3 linked regions of the Schizosaccharomyces pombe genome follow. The gene in region 3 interacts genetically with the main gene of each other region. Each region holds a gene or a part of one and is shown on either strand. Other genes may lie near its edges. The genes, in order: dna2, cid1 and cdc1.

Evidence for each region.
Region 1: of cdc1 (region 3) and dna2, extra expression of one rescues a mutant of the other (dosage rescue), as found in Schizosaccharomyces pombe (one study listed by BioGRID).
Region 2: of cdc1 (region 3) and cid1, extra expression of one rescues a mutant of the other (dosage rescue), as found in Schizosaccharomyces pombe (one study listed by BioGRID).

The regions. Positions count from the first base shown.
Region 1 is NC_003423.3:3,591,438-3,599,385, forward strand, and holds dna2 (DNA replication endonuclease-helicase Dna2), read right to left. Parts: upstream 5,520-7,948; 5' UTR 5,256-5,519; coding exon 4,898-5,255; exon of another isoform or gene 4,853-4,897; coding exon 2,059-4,852; intron 2,011-2,058; coding exon 1,296-2,010; exon of another isoform or gene 1,274-1,295; intron 1,249-1,273; coding exon 922-1,248; 3' UTR 854-921; downstream 1-853. Other genes in the region: kae1 (EKC/KEOPS complex N(6)-L-threonylcarbamoyladenine synthase subunit), read left to right, coding at 1-309, 350-809; cell wall alpha-1,3-glucan synthase Mok13, read left to right, coding at 6,134-6,490, 6,531-7,948. UniProt on the Schizosaccharomyces pombe protein: Key enzyme involved in DNA replication and DNA repair.
Region 2 is NC_003424.3:5,203,881-5,208,922, forward strand, and holds cid1 (terminal uridylyltransferase Cid1), read left to right. Parts: upstream 1-2,699; 5' UTR 2,700-2,832; coding exon 2,833-3,076; intron 3,077-3,180; coding exon 3,181-3,321; intron 3,322-3,422; coding exon 3,423-4,255; 3' UTR 4,256-4,542; downstream 4,543-5,042. Other genes in the region: protein tyrosine phosphatase Pyp2, read left to right, coding at 1-1,078; protein Emc10, read right to left, coding at 1,584-2,255; ptr1 (E3 ubiquitin-protein ligase), read left to right, coding at 4,896-5,042. UniProt on the Schizosaccharomyces pombe protein: Cytoplasmic uridylyltransferase that mediates the terminal uridylation of mRNAs with short poly(A) tails such as such as act1, hcn1 and urg1 mRNAs, hence facilitating global mRNA decay. Uridylates the 3' ends of actin mRNAs upon S-phase arrest.
Region 3 is NC_003424.3:4,012,271-4,017,057, forward strand, and holds cdc1 (DNA polymerase delta small subunit Cdc1), read left to right. Parts: upstream 1-2,779; coding exon 2,780-3,920; exon of another isoform or gene 3,921-3,969; coding exon 3,970-4,217; 3' UTR 4,218-4,287; downstream 4,288-4,787. Other genes in the region: SPOM_SPAC27E2.14 (uncharacterized protein), read right to left, coding at 252-341, 393-407; msm1 (methionine--tRNA (Met) ligase), read right to left, coding at 4,308-4,787.

The sequences.
Region 1 (7,948 bases), on a different chromosome or scaffold from region 3:
TGCTCCTCTGAATAGTGTAGCTCTTTGTGCTAGGATGTTATCACTAATTCACAAGAAACCTTTAGTAGCAGTTAATCATTGTATTGGTCACATTGAAATGGGTCGTGAAATTACGGGTGCACAAAATCCTGTCGTGCTTTATGTTTCTGGGGGAAACACTCAAGTAATTGCATACTCAGAGAAGAAGTATAGGATTTTTGGTGAAACGCTTGATATTGCTATAGGCAATTGTTTGGATCGATTTGCCAGAATCATTGGTTTGTCCAATGCACCTTCACCTGGTTACAATATTATGCAAGAAGCAAAAAAGTAAGACTCACTTTGATGTTTTATACTAATTTTTTCCTAGAGGCAAAAGATTTATAGAGTTACCCTATACTGTTAAAGGTATGGATTGTTCATTTTCCGGATTGTTGTCAGGGGTTGAAGCGGCAGCTACAGAGCTATTAGACCCAAAAAATCCGAGTTCTGTTACAAAGCAAGATCTTTGTTACTCTTTACAGGAAACTGGCTTTGCAATGCTAGTTGAAATTACAGAACGCGCGATGGCACATATCAGAGCTGATTCTGTTTTAATTGTTGGAGGTGTTGGATGCAATGAACGTCTCCAACAAATGATGGCTGAAATGAGTTCGGATAGAGGCGCTGATGTTTTTTCTACAGATGAACGTTTCTGTATTGATAATGGTATAATGATAGCCCAAGCAGGGTTGTTGGCTTATAAAACCGGGGACCGATGTGCCGTCGCAGAATCGACGATTACTCAAAGATATCGTACTGACGATGTTTATATATCATGGAGGGATTAATACTTATATTCATGAACAAGGATCAGATGAATTTTATTTTAGGCATTTATATATACATTCTTCATTATGAAGATCGTATCCAGTAAAATATTGAGTTTTTTGAAGTAGATTATCAAAATTCCAGTTGAGGTAAAATAGCTTTTTCACATAAATTGTCACTATTAAAAAACCTTTGGTTCTTTCTAATAATAACTTTAGCATTATTTGTCGTTGCAACCTGAGAACAATCCTTAATTGGAGAGCTATTCTCGTCAAATTTCGTTGCTATATCATTCTCATTTAACGTGAAAATCCATTTGTTTTTTTCTAATAATTTCAATAAATGAGAAACTATATTTGAAGACGAAAGAGTAGATAACGAGCCAAACATAATACATTTCACTTTCGCCCTGCTTAAAGCAACGTTCAAACGATGCCAATCGCGTAGCAATTCTCCAACCTAAATAAATGGTTAGCAGTTGTGTAAATAATTGGTTCAATACTCACTAAGTTTTTACTGTTGGATCTCACAAAAGATATTAAAATGATGTCCTTGTCTCTTCCTTGATAACGATCGACAGTGTTAATTTCTATTTCAGTGAATGATTTAAGATTCTTAGAAAGCAACTCCACCTGACTTTTGTAAATTGAAATTATCCCGATAGAACTTTGCTTAACGCCTCGTTCCAAGAAGGAGGAAACTGCTTGTTCTATCAAAAAAGCTTCAGTATGATTTTCTAGAATATTATTAGTTTTTGATTCAACTCCCAGAATATCATCGGTATTAAAAAATATGACTGAATGACTAGGATTGATTAACTTGTTGACCCAATGTAGGCTAGACGACGAATCGGGTAAACCATCACTTAGATGAGCTTTTGGCAAAATTAATTTTTTTTGGGATATCGTCTTGGACCCACACACCAAATTGCCGCCATAAATAAGTTCACTAGATAATGAATTAATGTCTTCATTCATACGATATTGTAGTCTTAAAGTGGTAACGGCTTCAGGATGCTTTTCTGATAGTAATTTAAATAGACTGAGCGACAAACCATCCTTAGATGTTCTTGAATTTTTTACTAAAGGAGGAAGTTGATAATGATCACCAACTAAAACAAATTTTTCAGCAAGCTGCAAAGGGCCTAAGCAAATTGGTAGAGGTATTTGGGATGCCTCATCAATTATACAATAATCGAATTTTCTTTTATTGAAAATGGAACTAATGTTGTTAGTAGTTTGTTCATTGCCGTCGCTTTCAATTACTTACTGATATACCCCTAGAGAAGAGCATGCAACTATTTGGGGGTCTTCGTAAAAATGTTTTAATGACGCTAAGTCGTCAAACGTCGTTCCTTCAGTCAAACAAAATTCTTTTACTAGGGGATGGATTTTATGAGGAGATCCTAAGCGGACGATTGTGCTATCACAACCCTTCAGTTTAATTAAAATGTTATCAACTGCTAAATGCGTAAAAGAAGTAAGAAGTATTTTCTTCTTTTTGGCAAGCAATGATCTGATTAAGCTAGAAATTGTAGTGGTTTTCCCCGTTCCAGGCATTCCGAGTATCAAACTATAATGTTCTGCAGCGTGGCATTTCTTTAAAGCTGTAATTTGATCTTCGTTTAAACATTTCAAAAATTCAGGATCGATTAATGCACTATTACAAAATTTTGGAGGCTTCAAACGGATAATCATGTCCCTTATAATTAAGGGAGCATCTGGTAATACAGAAGACATCAAGGTACCTCTTATTGATGCAATTCCGCTCGAAAATTCGTCCTTATCAATTCTGTACCTCGTATGGTTACTTCCGATAAATGACAATTTGGAATCTTCATAGTTACCAAAAAATACCTGGTTTTTTTTGAAATCAAAGTTAGGCATCTTTAGCCATGGAATATGAAGTCGATGACGAGTTCGTACTTCAATACATGAATCTTGAATATGGACTATGTGTCCTTTAGCTAGTGACCAGTGTCCATGTTCATCAGAAATAAATACTCGTTCACCAACGCTGAAGCCTGAGTGCAAGAAATTTCGAGGATAACCATTGTCATTTAAAAAAGCGAATTTGTAATGAAAAACCCTGTCATCAATTTCTAAACAAACGATATCCTCTTTAGTAATGTATAAAGGATACAGAGTTTTTCCATAAGCTTCTAGCTCTTCTGTATCAAAAGTCAACACATCGCCTCTTTTTAGTAGTAAGAGTCGTTCCTCTTGATTTAATAACTTCTCCCACTTCTTATAAAATTCAAGATCCTCATCTTTTACTTCGCGCATCCATTCATTCCATGACTCAGTCAAGCCGTTACTATTAGCTACTCCTTTATCACTCATCTTTTGAAAGAACAAACATTCAGAAACTAAACTGCAGTGATCGCAAATTTTTCGGTTCGAAATCATTTCAGGAAGGCTGCGCCTAAAGTTATGCTGTGCAAGAGAATTTCTTGTCATGATCAACCCTCGAAGTTGGGAGTTACTTGCAACCAAATTCTTGATAGTACTATTTTCCAAATAGCATAATAATGCCTGATTAGTATTGATACCATAACGATCTGAAATGAGTAATGTATAAAGCAAACTTTGAGCAAAATGGCTAATATTGTCGACATATCGGCCAGTTTTAAGCTCTAACGGAAGTGTGAGGGTTGACGAAGACTCAGGTTTTTCAGTTAAAACCACCTCAACTGTAGCATCGATATTACCTTTTAATCCAAATCTGGGTGACCATATGGATTCCTCAATATCGAGAAGCCTTGAAATGTGAATACTTTCATTGTTGTTGTCATTTTTTTTACTTATTAAATATCTTTCAACAATAGATTTAAGAAGGGGAAGCCTCGCATCAAGTTCCTCTCGAATTTCATCGAGCGACAAATCAGCAAAATAGATATCAGAGATGTATGTTTTTATTGATGTTTCAAGGTTGATATCAACATTTTCAAGGGCATCAATACCTCTGTATAATGCGTGTTGAAAAAAATCATGTAAAATGTTTCCAGTTACCATAGCTTTTGTAGGAGGTCCATAAATGCCAACCCTGTCAGATATTACGGCTTTCCTCAAACAAGGAAAAGAGCTGGCCACTGCCGTAGCAGACATTAAAATTTTCGGATGTATGATAATAAGTCCTTTATCGTTGTCAACGATAGCGGTATTATCTTTGTCAAATGTAGCTTCAACACGGATAGAATCCCCTACAAAAATACTAGTCTCAGTCCAATCACCGCGTAAAAATAACTGATGCAGTATATCATTTGCTTCCAAAATCAACTTTAATTGTCGAAAGTGATTCCCTTCATGAAAAATGAAGTCTTCGTGAACTTCTAATACTGTGTATTCGGAGGAAAACTCGCACAATTCACCAGGAGTGCATCCATCACACGAATCATCCCAATCATCGATAAAGTCGCTATTGATATCCGGCAATGAATTACAAGCTTTATCAAGAGCAAGGTTCACAGGTTCTTCATTTATTGTAGCATCAGATGCTTTTGTTGCTGAACAATAAGATTGCAAATCACCTCCCACATGGTTGACCTTAGCTGTCTTTTCTATGTCCTTTGCAGAAGCAGTTACTGTAGAATTAGGTAATTGTGAGTATTGGCGTTCAAGGGAATCTAATGCTGCCAGATCTTCAGCTTCTAAGGCAAAATCATCCTCGTCAATTTCGGTATCTGATCCTTTGAGAAGACAACTGGAATTTGCAGCAATTCTTGATTGCTCAGATGATCTTGCATTACGAATTATAGACACCAAGCTAGGGACTTTATGCAGGTTATTTCCTTGGTTTTTTACTTCATCATACGATCCGAAGCTTCTACTCTGGTTTTCCGAAACATTTGAACTCGACAAATTATTGTTTATCAGTGGCTTATTATCTGAAGCACATCGTCGTAATAGGACAGTTTCATCCGTATATAATGTAAACACATCAGATTTTGAGTTCGTTGACACTGGTTTCATATCTATAATCGTTGAGTCCGTCGTTTGATGATCCAGCAAATGTTGAGTAGAAGAGCTACGACACAAATCCTTCGAAGTTTCTTGAAAACATACTTCTAAAAGTTAAAATACACGTCTGAATACAAGAAAAATCATACCTGGCATGTCTTGGCTATTCAAGTCAGATTTCCGCGTGAAAGATTTGTCAGGCTTTAAATCGTCAGTAATTTCTTTATGAGCTTTAGTAAATGGGGAAAAAGATGTTGAGGATTCATTAAAAGTATTCTTTCGTTTAATTGGTAATGAAGAATGCTTTTTTTCAGAGATTTTAGGTGAACTAATTTCTGTAGATGCATTGTACGCAAAATTTTCCAGCTTCAATTTAGTTCTCCCATTTAGCAAATAGTTTTTCCTGAAAGGAGTTGAATTAGTTTTTTTTAAATTACCATGATTGTTGTCAGTAGTGGCACATATACCTTTCACAGATGAAGTTGTTTTCGACTGGTCGTTGAACATTATTAATTTACAAAAAAAGGAAGGCAATAAACATTAAAAAATAAAAAAGTTTGTTATAATTATACTCAAATAACCAGGCTAAAATTCAACCAGGTAATGAGCTTTGAAAAGAACGACTAAAACACGTGAAAAAGAATGATGATCAACGATGTAAATGCAAAGAAAAAATAAATAGAAATAAATTAAAATAAAGCCTTAACGACTGCGCTTATTCTCAAAATAATAGGCAATGCTCGTAAAATAGATATTTGGAGTATGGTTGTCGGAGGTTTCAGTTTTATAGATACTCGGTTCCCTAACGCCAACAATGCTAGTTAATTTATTTCCTTAGGTTTTCCGCAGTCATGTTCTCGATTGATTTTAAATAAAATTACACATGAATATGTGCCAGTAATCTTTACAATGAACCTTGTGAAGTCGTTCACAGGTAAATTGAACTAAAACCAAGTCCGATGAAAGCAAAATTATTGATTTTCCTTAATACATAATTAATAAATATTATCTGTATCGAAATTCGCTTCAACTCTTCTTAAGTATAAGCTTATTAACTGAATGACCGTTTGCATACAAAAGCGCAAACTGCGATTTAATTATAAAATAAAATTCCTTCTTAATTTTTTTAAAATTTATTTTTAAAATAGAAATGCATGTGTAAGCAAAAATTAATATAAATTTTTTAGGTTCGTTTGTTTGTTTACATTCCAAAAAGTTGACTTATTGGTTATTGTACTCTTCTCGTATTTAGAAGCAACCATCATTTGAATCGGGAAAAATCTTGATAAATTCATATATAATAGCATTAACGATCGCATTAATTTTAATAAAACTATTTTGAACAGGGCAGCTTCTTCACGTCAATTGAGGAAATACCATAAACGATGCGAAATAAGAATATTCTCGTCTTGAATTTGATATTAAGTATACCAAGGTTGGTCTTTACTGCTAAATATGATGAAAGAGAATCTTTATGGAATTTAAACCAAAATCAATCAGCTACCGATCCTCTAGATTATTGGGGAAAATGGGAAAACCATCAATACCATCCCAGTCCAGATGATTGGCAAGTGCCATTTTACACAGTTATTTTGGATAAATGGAAAGATGGTGATCCTAGAAATAATGAAGCTAACAATACTATTTATGAGTATGATATTTATGAAACTGGTTTTCGAAACGGAGGGGATATAATAGGCCTGAAAGACTCACTAGATTATTTGGAGATTATGGGAATAAAGGTAAGATAGAGTTATGCTTTTATGCTCGTTAACGAATAAGGTTATCTACATCGCCGGTACACCATTTTTAAATCAGCCATGGGGTGCTGATCAGTACTCACCACTGGACTACACCATCCTCGATCACCATTCTGGAACAATTGCACAATGGCGTGACACGATAGAAGAAATCCATCGTAGAGGGTTTTATTTAGTTCTGGACCTTACAATTTCTACGTTGGGAGATCTTATAGGGTTTCGGAAGTATCTGAACAGTACTACTCCATTTTCTTTATTTGAACATGAGGCGGTGTGGAAAAGCAACGTCATTTATCCAGACTGGAATTTCACAAATAAATATGACCCAAAGTGTGAGCTTCCCAGATTTTGGGGTGAAGATGGCGCGCCTGTTGTGATTGATTATGTTGGTTGTTATGATTCAGATTTCGATCAGTATGGCGATACAGAAGCCTTTGGTACTCATCCTGATTGGGAACGTCAGCTTTCAAAGTTTGCTTCTGTCCAAGATAGACTTAGAGAATGGAGGCCATCGGTTTCAGAAAAGTTAAAACACTTCGCATGTATGATCATTGCCATGTTAGATGTGGATGGTTTTCGTATTGATAAAGCTACTCAAATTACAGTTGATTTTCTTGCTTCATGGGCTCATTCTGTGAGGGGGTGTGCAGCAACGTTTAATAAAAAGAATTTTTTTATACCTGGTGAAGTAACTGGTTCTTCAAGTTATGGCTCAATTTATTACGGTCGTGGTCGTCAACCAGATCAACGTCCTCCGTCGATACTTACTTCACTTAATTCATCATCCCTTAAAGAAAACTACTTTCTGAGGGAACCTAAAGCGAATGCCCTAGATGCTTCTGCTTTTCACTATTCACTCTACCGTGCCATGACCAGATTTCTGCAAATGGACGGAGATCTGCAAGTTGGTCATGATCTTCCCGTAGATTTTACAGATTTGTGGAATGCTATGGCAGTTAATGAAGACTTTTATAATCCTAACACTCATAAAGTTGACCCGCGTCACATGCTAGGGATTACTAACCATGATGTTTTTAGATGGTCAGCAATTGAATTTGGATTAGAACGTTTGCTATTAGGAACCATGATAACGTACTTTCTTTTTCCAGGAGCACCCTCCATTTATTATGGTGATGAACAAGGATTCTATGTACTGGATAATACAGCAAACAATTATCTTTACGGTCGCCAAGCGATGCCTTCATCTATAGCATGGAAAGTTCATGGTTGTTATGCACTGGCATCTGATCAGTATCCAGAACTTCCTGTCATAAAGGCATATCAAGGGTGTAATGATGATTGGAATATAATGGACCACTTTGATTTTGCTAAACCCGAATTAAAAATGTTCAAGATATTCAACTTTATTAGGGAACAATACCCGGCCTTAAAATCTGGATGGAAATCAGTTAAACTAAGAAATTGGACTGAATATGTACA
Region 2 (5,042 bases), 1.2 Mb from region 3:
TAAACCATCTGTTGGTTTATCAAACACACGAGATGCTCCAAAACCAGGCGGTCTAAGAAGAGCTAACAAACCGTGCTTTAATAAAGAGACCAAGGGAAGCATTTTCTCCAAGGAAAACAAAGGACCCTTTACTTGTAATCCCTGGGGTGCCAAAAAGGTTTCTCCTCCTCCTTGTGAGGTGCTTGCGGATTTAAATACTGCTTCTATTTTTTATAAGTTTAAAAGACTTGAGGAAATGGAAATGACTAGATCCCTAGCGTTTAATGACAGTAAATCTGATTGGTGCTGTTTAGCTTCCAGCCGCTCCACTTCCATTTCAAGAAAAAATCGTTACACAGATATCGTGCCCTACGATAAAACAAGAGTCCGTCTAGCCGTTCCAAAAGGATGTTCTGATTATATTAATGCTTCACATATAGACGTTGGAAATAAAAAATATATTGCCTGCCAGGCCCCTAAGCCGGGAACTCTTTTAGACTTTTGGGAAATGGTTTGGCATAACTCAGGAACAAATGGTGTTATCGTAATGCTCACAAATCTGTATGAGGCGGGAAGTGAGAAATGTTCTCAATATTGGCCAGATAACAAAGATCACGCATTATGCTTGGAAGGCGGATTACGCATATCTGTTCAAAAATATGAAACCTTTGAAGATTTGAAGGTCAACACTCATTTGTTTCGATTGGATAAACCTAATGGTCCTCCAAAGTATATACATCACTTTTGGGTGCACACGTGGTTTGACAAAACCCATCCAGATATTGAAAGCATCACGGGAATCATACGTTGTATTGATAAGGTTCCCAATGATGGACCAATGTTCGTTCACTGTTCAGCAGGCGTAGGACGCACTGGTACTTTTATTGCTGTAGACCAAATACTTCAGGTACCAAAAAACATTTTACCCAAGACGACCAATTTGGAAGATTCAAAAGATTTCATATTCAATTGTGTTAACTCGTTGAGATCACAACGGATGAAAATGGTTCAAAACTTTGAGCAATTCAAATTTCTCTACGACGTCGTGGATTATTTAAATAGCGGCGTTAACCAGGCTTCCAAGCCCTTGATGACTTAACGAAACGACTGTTCTTTAATTTTCTGTGTTTGTACACACTATGTTCTATTTATGTGAGATTGTGTAATTCCTCATTTTTTACATTATCTGACGCGAAGGTTATGTTAAAAATACTTAACCACACTCTCCGGTAATCATGTGTAATTCCTTCCTTATTGTTGTTAAAAATTGATTTTATCTCATGCGTGTAATGAATGTTTATATCTAGTTATTAATGAATCTTGTTTATGTTGGAATGGAATAATTGTTAAAGACTAAATTAGTTATGTGCACGTAGAAACTTCCTTCTTTTTTATTTTAACCTTTCCTATACGATATTTCATTACAAATGTTTGTATAGATTTTAAAGTACTATTAAGTATCGTACATCTGGCACATAGCAGTATTATTGAATGGAAATAGATGAATTAGAATATTTGTAAAGAGCACAGTAAGTAGTAGCAATAATCAAAAAATTATCGTAGCCGAGACGCAATTGTTTTAAGGCATATATATAATGACTCGTTTATTTCGCCGTATTTGCTGCCTGTTGATTTGCATTGTTACCAGACATAATTATCAGAAACAATATCGGGATGAGATATAAACCATATTTTTGGAAAAATGTCTTTTCCTCAGGTTCGGACTCTAATTCATCTTCGTCCACATTTGGAGATTCTTCGGTTTTAGAACCCTGTTTATTTCCTTGTTTTTCCTTCTGGGGTTTAGATGGACGTGATCCCTTTTTTCTGACAGCAGTAGTTAAAATTGGAATTGGAGAAGAAGGATGCAATTGCTCGACTACAGCACTTTCTGAGTCGGATGAAAAATCAAATGAGTGGACCACTTGAGTAAATTTTGCAATCTCATTGCTTTCTGATGAATCACAAAGTATGATATAGTGGTCTCTAGGTACTTTTGGAAGGGTTTTTATTTCATCAATTTTGTATTTGCTGGCGCCTGCAAGCCATGTGTTGGTAGAATCTTCGTATACTCCACATTGTACAAAATCAGAGTGAGAAAGATTACTCCAATCAATTTGTGAGTCCGAAGGACGAAATGTCATTTCTGGGATATCAATAGTACCATGTGGAAATATTTCTGTTTGCTCATTATGTGATACAGCGCAAGAAATAGGAATTTCTAATGCATGAGCAACAAAGGCTAAACTGATAAAAATCAAGCCTTGTCCTAGCATTTTTAGTAAATTTCGTAAAATCTATGAGATTAATAAAATATATTATCTTTTCCGGACGAAAATTACTTTTTGTATCTGAAAGTAGGAAGAGCGTAGTGTTTAGGTGTTAAGCTCGTCCATAATCATCAAGTGAAGCTATTTTGCTTAACTGTGACGAAGATAGCTCGCTGACATAAAAATAAACTAAATATTAGTAGTTATTGTTAGAAATATTCATGATTAAGGCTTTCAACGGATTATTTGCTAATTTTCCTTTTTCACATAAACCATTACTAGCCATACAACATTCGCTTCTTAAGTGAGAAAGAAAACATTTGGACCTTAGGATTTCTTCTTCCTAACTTTTTTCAATTACTTTACTGCTTTTTATAGCTCATTCCTCATCCATTAGCGCTGTCACCCCTACTGCTATTAAGTAACATATCAATTGGTAAAGGAGCTTTTGCCAAAAGCAAACACTGTAACTGACTTGCTTCAATTAGTAAAAGGAAGCATCAAAGACCATTAAACAGTGAATAATTACTCAAAGAGAAAGTGAATAAGTTTGCCACTTTCACCTTTTGAGCAGTAGACGAATATGAACATTTCTTCTGCACAATTTATTCCTGGTGTTCACACAGTTGAAGAGATTGAGGCAGAAATTCACAAAAATTTACATATTTCAAAAAGTTGTAGCTACCAAAAGGTCCCTAATTCGCACAAGGAATTTACGAAGTTTTGCTATGAAGTGTATAATGAGATTAAAATTAGTGACAAAGAGTTTAAAGAAAAGAGAGCGGCATTAGATACACTTCGGCTATGCCTTAAACGAATATCCCCTGGTATGTTTGAATATAAATTTAGGACTGTCTCAATTATGTAGTTAACGAGAGTGGAGACTTTACCAAATATTGATAATGTCCAATTCTAATGATATGTGACTTAGATGCTGAATTGGTAGCCTTTGGAAGTTTGGAATCTGGTTTAGCACTTAAAAATTCGGATATGGATTTGTGCGTGCTTATGGATTCGCGCGTCCAAAGTGATACAATTGCGCTCCAATTCTATGAAGAGCTTATAGCTGAAGGTAAGTATAATTATTCATTAAAAGTTATTCAGTTTAGACAAACTATCTCTGAATATTGTTTTTTTCCTTTCCAGTTGGCTCGCATAACTAACTATCGACAGGATTTGAAGGAAAATTTTTACAAAGGGCAAGAATTCCCATTATCAAATTAACATCTGATACGAAAAATGGATTTGGGGCTTCGTTTCAATGTGATATTGGATTTAACAATCGTCTAGCTATTCATAATACGCTTTTACTTTCTTCATATACAAAATTAGATGCTCGCCTAAAACCCATGGTCCTTCTTGTTAAGCATTGGGCCAAACGGAAGCAAATCAACTCTCCTTACTTTGGAACTCTTTCCAGTTATGGTTACGTCCTAATGGTTCTTTACTATCTGATTCACGTTATCAAGCCTCCCGTCTTTCCTAATTTACTGTTGTCACCTTTGAAACAAGAAAAGATAGTTGATGGATTTGACGTTGGTTTTGACGATAAACTGGAAGATATCCCTCCTTCCCAAAATTATAGCTCATTGGGAAGTTTACTTCATGGCTTTTTTAGATTTTATGCTTATAAGTTCGAGCCACGGGAAAAGGTAGTAACTTTTCGTAGACCAGACGGTTACCTCACAAAGCAAGAGAAAGGATGGACTTCAGCTACTGAACACACTGGATCGGCTGATCAAATTATAAAAGACAGGTATATTCTTGCGATTGAAGATCCTTTCGAGATTTCACATAATGTGGGTAGGACAGTTAGCAGTTCTGGATTGTATCGGATTCGAGGGGAATTTATGGCCGCTTCAAGGTTGCTCAATTCTCGCTCATATCCTATCCCTTATGATTCATTATTTGAGGAGGCCCCAATTCCGCCTCGTCGCCAGAAAAAAACGGATGAACAATCTAACAAAAAATTGTTGAATGAAACCGATGGTGACAATTCTGAGTGATTTTACAAAGAAGTCTTAAAAAGCGCATCAATATTCATTCCCCTAGATTCATAGTAATCATTCATTATTACTCTGCTTTTATTTGCTTACTTTTGAAAGCATGGAATGTTTTTATTTTTCTTTAAAAATTTTGACCTCTTGTTTCTAATACCTTTCCCCCTTTGTTTTATGTACAACCTCTTGTTAATAGTCTACTTGTTGGTGAGAAAATAGGCTCATCATAGTTAACATCAATGTCCAAAAAATTTTCATAGATCTATAATTAATAATTATTTATTGCAAATGCTAAGCTATTGTTTATATCAATTTCTTTAAATTGAACGGAAATAACCAAATATTTTTTCGTTTAGCCTCGGTAATGTGCGTAAACACATATAAAGAGTTTATCTTTTTTTCTTAATTACTATAGCGTACAGAAATTATTTTAGCTTATCAAATTTTTTCGTAAAATTCATATTGTTTCCAAATTTGTAGACGCATTGCAGCATGCTAACCATCACATTTGAACTTTTACCAAACATTCAGCTGGGTCTATTTCCCTTCTGTTCGTTGGTACAATTCATTAGAACATAATAAATTTGGCATTTTTCTCAAGGTGGGTATTTAACTATATTTCGAGATTTTGATGCTTTAAGCAAAAATGAGGATAACGAAAAGTCCTCCTAAAAATCAATATTCTCAGCCACCTCCTAGGGTTGCTGAGTTTATTAGACAAGCTCAAAATGAAGAAGTAACTTCAGACTTGGGTCTTGTCTCTCTTTGTTCAGAATTCAGAAAAAACGATTGG
Region 3 (4,787 bases):
AAAAAGACAACTAAAGAACGAGGATCAAATACGGTACTGCGCTACATCTCATAGCCGAGGTATTCTAAATAGATGCCAGTTAAGGTAAAATAAGCTTCCAAAAATGCAACTTAAAAAAGAATAGATTGTTGAAATGAAAAGTATACTTCTACAAAAAGGATGTTGGGAATAATTCTGTCATACCATACCGTGAATGTCGCAGAATGTTTCAATTTCAGTAGCACTGGCATTTTATCTTTTCTGACTTATTTTCAGTCCGGCTGTTCCCTTCTCTTTTGGTGTCCCTGTTGTCTTGGACAATTTGTCACCCCAAGGACCCTTGTACTTGGTTGTTTAAACAACTAGCTCGTTAGATTGGAATTTGCTTTTCGGGAATTCTGGGACTTGCTTACTCTCCGTAACCTCATTTCTTTTCTCCTGTCTCTTGCATTTCACACACCAATCCAAACAAGTTCAGCGTGAGGACTGCTTTAACATCCGTGATCGAGCCTAGACGGTTGTCCCAATGTTTAACAAGGAGCTCGATGTACTTTTTTATTTGGTCCGTTGACTTTCCGCAAACATGCAGTGAGAGAATACGGAAGTGAAGAGAATTTCGGTAATGTATCGCACGCACATATAGGAACAAGAACAATTCATATCCATCTATGTCTCTTCCGGTTTATCTGAATGATTTGTTGCTTTCTATTAATTCGTTAACCAAGCAACCACGAGGCCCCATCATTCTGCCAAATTGACTTTCACAATCATTGCACAACTATTGCTTCAAGCTCCCTACAAGGTATCCAGTGAGTATCAATATTTTAGCAGCATCGATTTGTTACTTACTGTTTGGAAAAAAATCGGGGCAGATGAGCACAAACAAAAAGCAACAAAACTCTGAAATTTTTATATAAAACATGGATTCTCAAACTCCGATCCCACAAAATCCCTCTACTGCTTTAGTTTAACCTCAGGGGAAGCGGAAACCGACAACTGTCCGCAGAACCGTTATTGGCTCGTTTGTTCCAAACTCTAGCAGTGCGAAAGTGAAATTTTTACAGTATGCAGGCAGGTCCTTCTTGCAAGACACTATAAAGTAAAAGTTTTTTAAACAATTCGACATTCCGGCGAATGTGAAAATGTAACTGTGTGAAATGTTGACTATACAAGTGCATTAAGCAAAAGATCTCATCGTAATTTTCGATCTTCAATTTATCAAACTTTCAACCGTTTTTAAACCGTATGACCTTTTAATACGTAAACAGTTTCTCATTTTTTTTATGTTTTACTGCATTAATCACACACAATAAGATTTTATTTCCATTTCATTCAAGTTGCCAAGTTATTTCTATTTAGTATATTAACAACTAAAACACAACTGGCTGGCTATGCAAGTAATTATTATTCTCTAACATAGAGATTCTTATTTTTTTTGGTACACAAGTTTATGAGTCGTTAAAACCTTTTTAAATCGTGCAACATTGATTCATCTCAGTATACTCGATTATCCCTGTGTTCGATATCCCGCAGCTGTAGCCGATACTGAATGTTAACAGTCCACAGTCTATTTATAGCTAGCTCTCTGATATCGGACAACAGGCAATACCGCTTCATTGACCTCTCGTGACAAGCGGCTTTTTTATAAAGGATGTATTGATATCTTTGAAGAAGAAGAAAATCGGCAAGTTTTTCATTTTACTTTAAACATTTGAATTTGGTTTTGCTATTCTTGCTTTTCCTTCTACAATACTTTTCCATATGGGGTAATAGTGTGACCGATCAACATTGCGTTATTTAATATTCAGATTTCAACGGAATAAAATAAAACCTCAATTTAAATTAATGTAGTTTTGATATACATCTTTAATAAGTAATATAGTAAGATACAGAAATCACCTTAACCATTTCTAGGGCACTATGTTGGCCTACCTTTCCTCCTATTAATTAACATAATGTTATTAATTTACAATCATCAAATAAATCGAAAACCCACTTTTTATGCTATAGGAAAGGGTTTGTAGTTCATTTACTTCGTTGGGGAATTTGCTTCTTTTACTTTTGTGTGATAAAACTCGATAGACTAAATATATGGATTCATCATGATTGTTCAAGGTTGAGAAAAATGTTAATTGTATGAAACGAAATAAACCCACATGATGTTTGTTCATCCTCAATTAGTAAACATTCACCTTTATTGAGCTTCTTTCTCTTTTCGTCAAGTTTACCTCTTTGTTTACATTTAAAAAAAGATGTTCTTCAAACACTTTATTGTTGTAGGTAACAACAGCTAGTCATGTTAGGAACCACGACTTTCTCATATACAACGTATTCTTACTTGTTGATCTGCTGCATCCAACTCCTTTGCTTATTCGAACCTTCTAAACCTGGTTCCATTCCATGAAATTGATTCCCCTTAACCTTGCATAGCACACCTTTGAAGTTCCTTACTCTTTACATATGCTGCTTGTGTAAATTAGTCAATAACATTTAAAGAACTGATTTTATTGAAAAAACAACAAAAGCGTTATTATATTTATTCCTCTTTTTTTTAAACAGGTGTTTTGGGGCCGTTCATAGGTTTTTTGGGAAATCATATAAATATATATATATATATATATATATTTTTTTCCGCACATTTACTTGCAATACTCGCTCGTTTTAGTAATTGCATGAATCGTAGACAACTCTTCACTCTCCATTGTTGTGAAATTTTTCGTGGAGCATCTCGATTTAATATCCTGACTACTCCTTTGGTAAGTGTTTAACTTACCTAACTGTATATATTTACAAAATAATCATGGTTGAAGTCAGACATTCAATTCCTTGTGAAGAAACTAAACGCTTGGAGCTTAGTTTAAGTCAGCAAACGTATAGTCAACAGTACGCCAGCATCTATTTCGCCCGACTTACCGCTCTTCGACCCAGAATCACAGAAGCCGCTTCAAAAAAATGGCCGGATAAACAGCGATTGGAACGCGTTTTAGATGTTAAGTCAGATGAAGACTGTTGGGTTGTCGCTACCGCTTATATGACTACAGCTCTTAAGCCAAACGTTATGAACGATGTCACACAACTTCATACAATTGTCACCACTACTGAAGAATCTCCGTATGTTAGCCCAGAAGATGCTGCTTCAGGTGATATAGAATATGCTCTTGAGGATGACTATGGCCGTATAGATTGTAGCGGAAGCTTTTTGTATGACGCTGGCGTTGTTACAGGAGTTGTTCTTGCAGTTTTGGGCCATGAAGATGAACAAGGTCGTTTCGTTGTCGTTGACGTTTGTTTTCCAGGCATCTTCTCTCATTCCATTCCAATGACTACAGATGAATCGCAAGCTCAACCAGAGTACATTGCGGCAGTCAGTGGCTTAGGTCTCTCAAATGACGGCATAGAAGGCATTCAAGTTCATCAGCTTGTAGATTTCCTAAGAGGAACACTTCCACATGTCTCTTCCTTTTCCCCTTCCTCCATCAAAAGGCTAATTATTCTCGGAAATTGCTTAGCACCTTCTATAGAAATTGCCGACTCCGCTTCTGCGTCCGTGCCCATTGGCAAGAAAAAAGTAAAAAGATATGGCTATGACACGTCTGCTTACAATCCAAATCCCACCTTCCAACTAGATAATTTTCTTGATCAAGTGTGTTCCAGCATAGATGTCACTTTAATGCCTGGTCCTTATGATTACAGTTCAACTATCCTTCCTCAACAGCCTTTGCATCCCGCTTTACTTACTAAATCAAAAGTTTGGTTGGGATCTTCTTTACAAACAGTTACGAATCCCACTTGGCTTTCTCTTGGCAATCATTTTGTGTTGGCTACTAGCGGCCAAAACATTAATGATCTCCGAAAATATCATCCCAAAAAATCTTCACTTCAATGCATGGAAAACACTTTACTATGGAATCATATCACACCTACCAGCCCTGATACCTTATGTAAGTAATCTGTACATTTTTCAAACGATATATTTGCTAATGATTTTAGGGTGCTATCCTTTCACCGACAAAGATACATTTGTAATGGAGGAAATGCCTGATCTATATCTTTGTGGTAATCAACCGAAATTTGGCTGCAAAACAGTCATTAATGAGGGAAACAGAATACAATTGGTTTCCGTTCCCGAATTTCGTAAGACTGGTGTACTTGTTCTCATAAATATGCATACGCTCAACGTAGAAATTATTCAATTCCGCCCCATGTCAGTCAAAGCAGAGACTCCAATTACTTCTTAATGCAAAATATCTTGAATATTTAATCATGTATTTATTAAATAAATAAGTTTTTTCTTACTGTTGTCATCATAATTATCTGATCTACACGTCTCATTGAGTTCTTTTGTCAAACAAATGAGAATTATTACCACTGTGGAACGTGAACTCCGTAGGTTCAAAAACGTTAGTTGCATTCTGTAGGGAGCGCTGGTTTTTAGGAATTCCTAATTGGTCTAATAACTCAGTCGACTTGGTTGGCATTATAGGTTGTAGGAGAATTCCGCTAATGCGTAGGCTGTGAGCTACTAACATTAAAGTGTCAATCTTTTCTTGAGAATCATCTGATAATTTCCAAGGTTCTTTCAATTGAAAAAGCTTAGTGACTCTTCTTAAAACAGACTGAACAAGATTAATAACCTCGTAAACACACCCACCATCTATGCTTTGCGCGCAAACAACAGGAAGTTCTATAAGTTCGTGTACAATATCTTCGTATTCTGTAAAATCATCCTTTTTATGCCATTGCTTCTGTATTTCATTGGAAATGAACAGTTTCTTCGATTGCAATCGAGAAAGTAGCACACCTAAAGA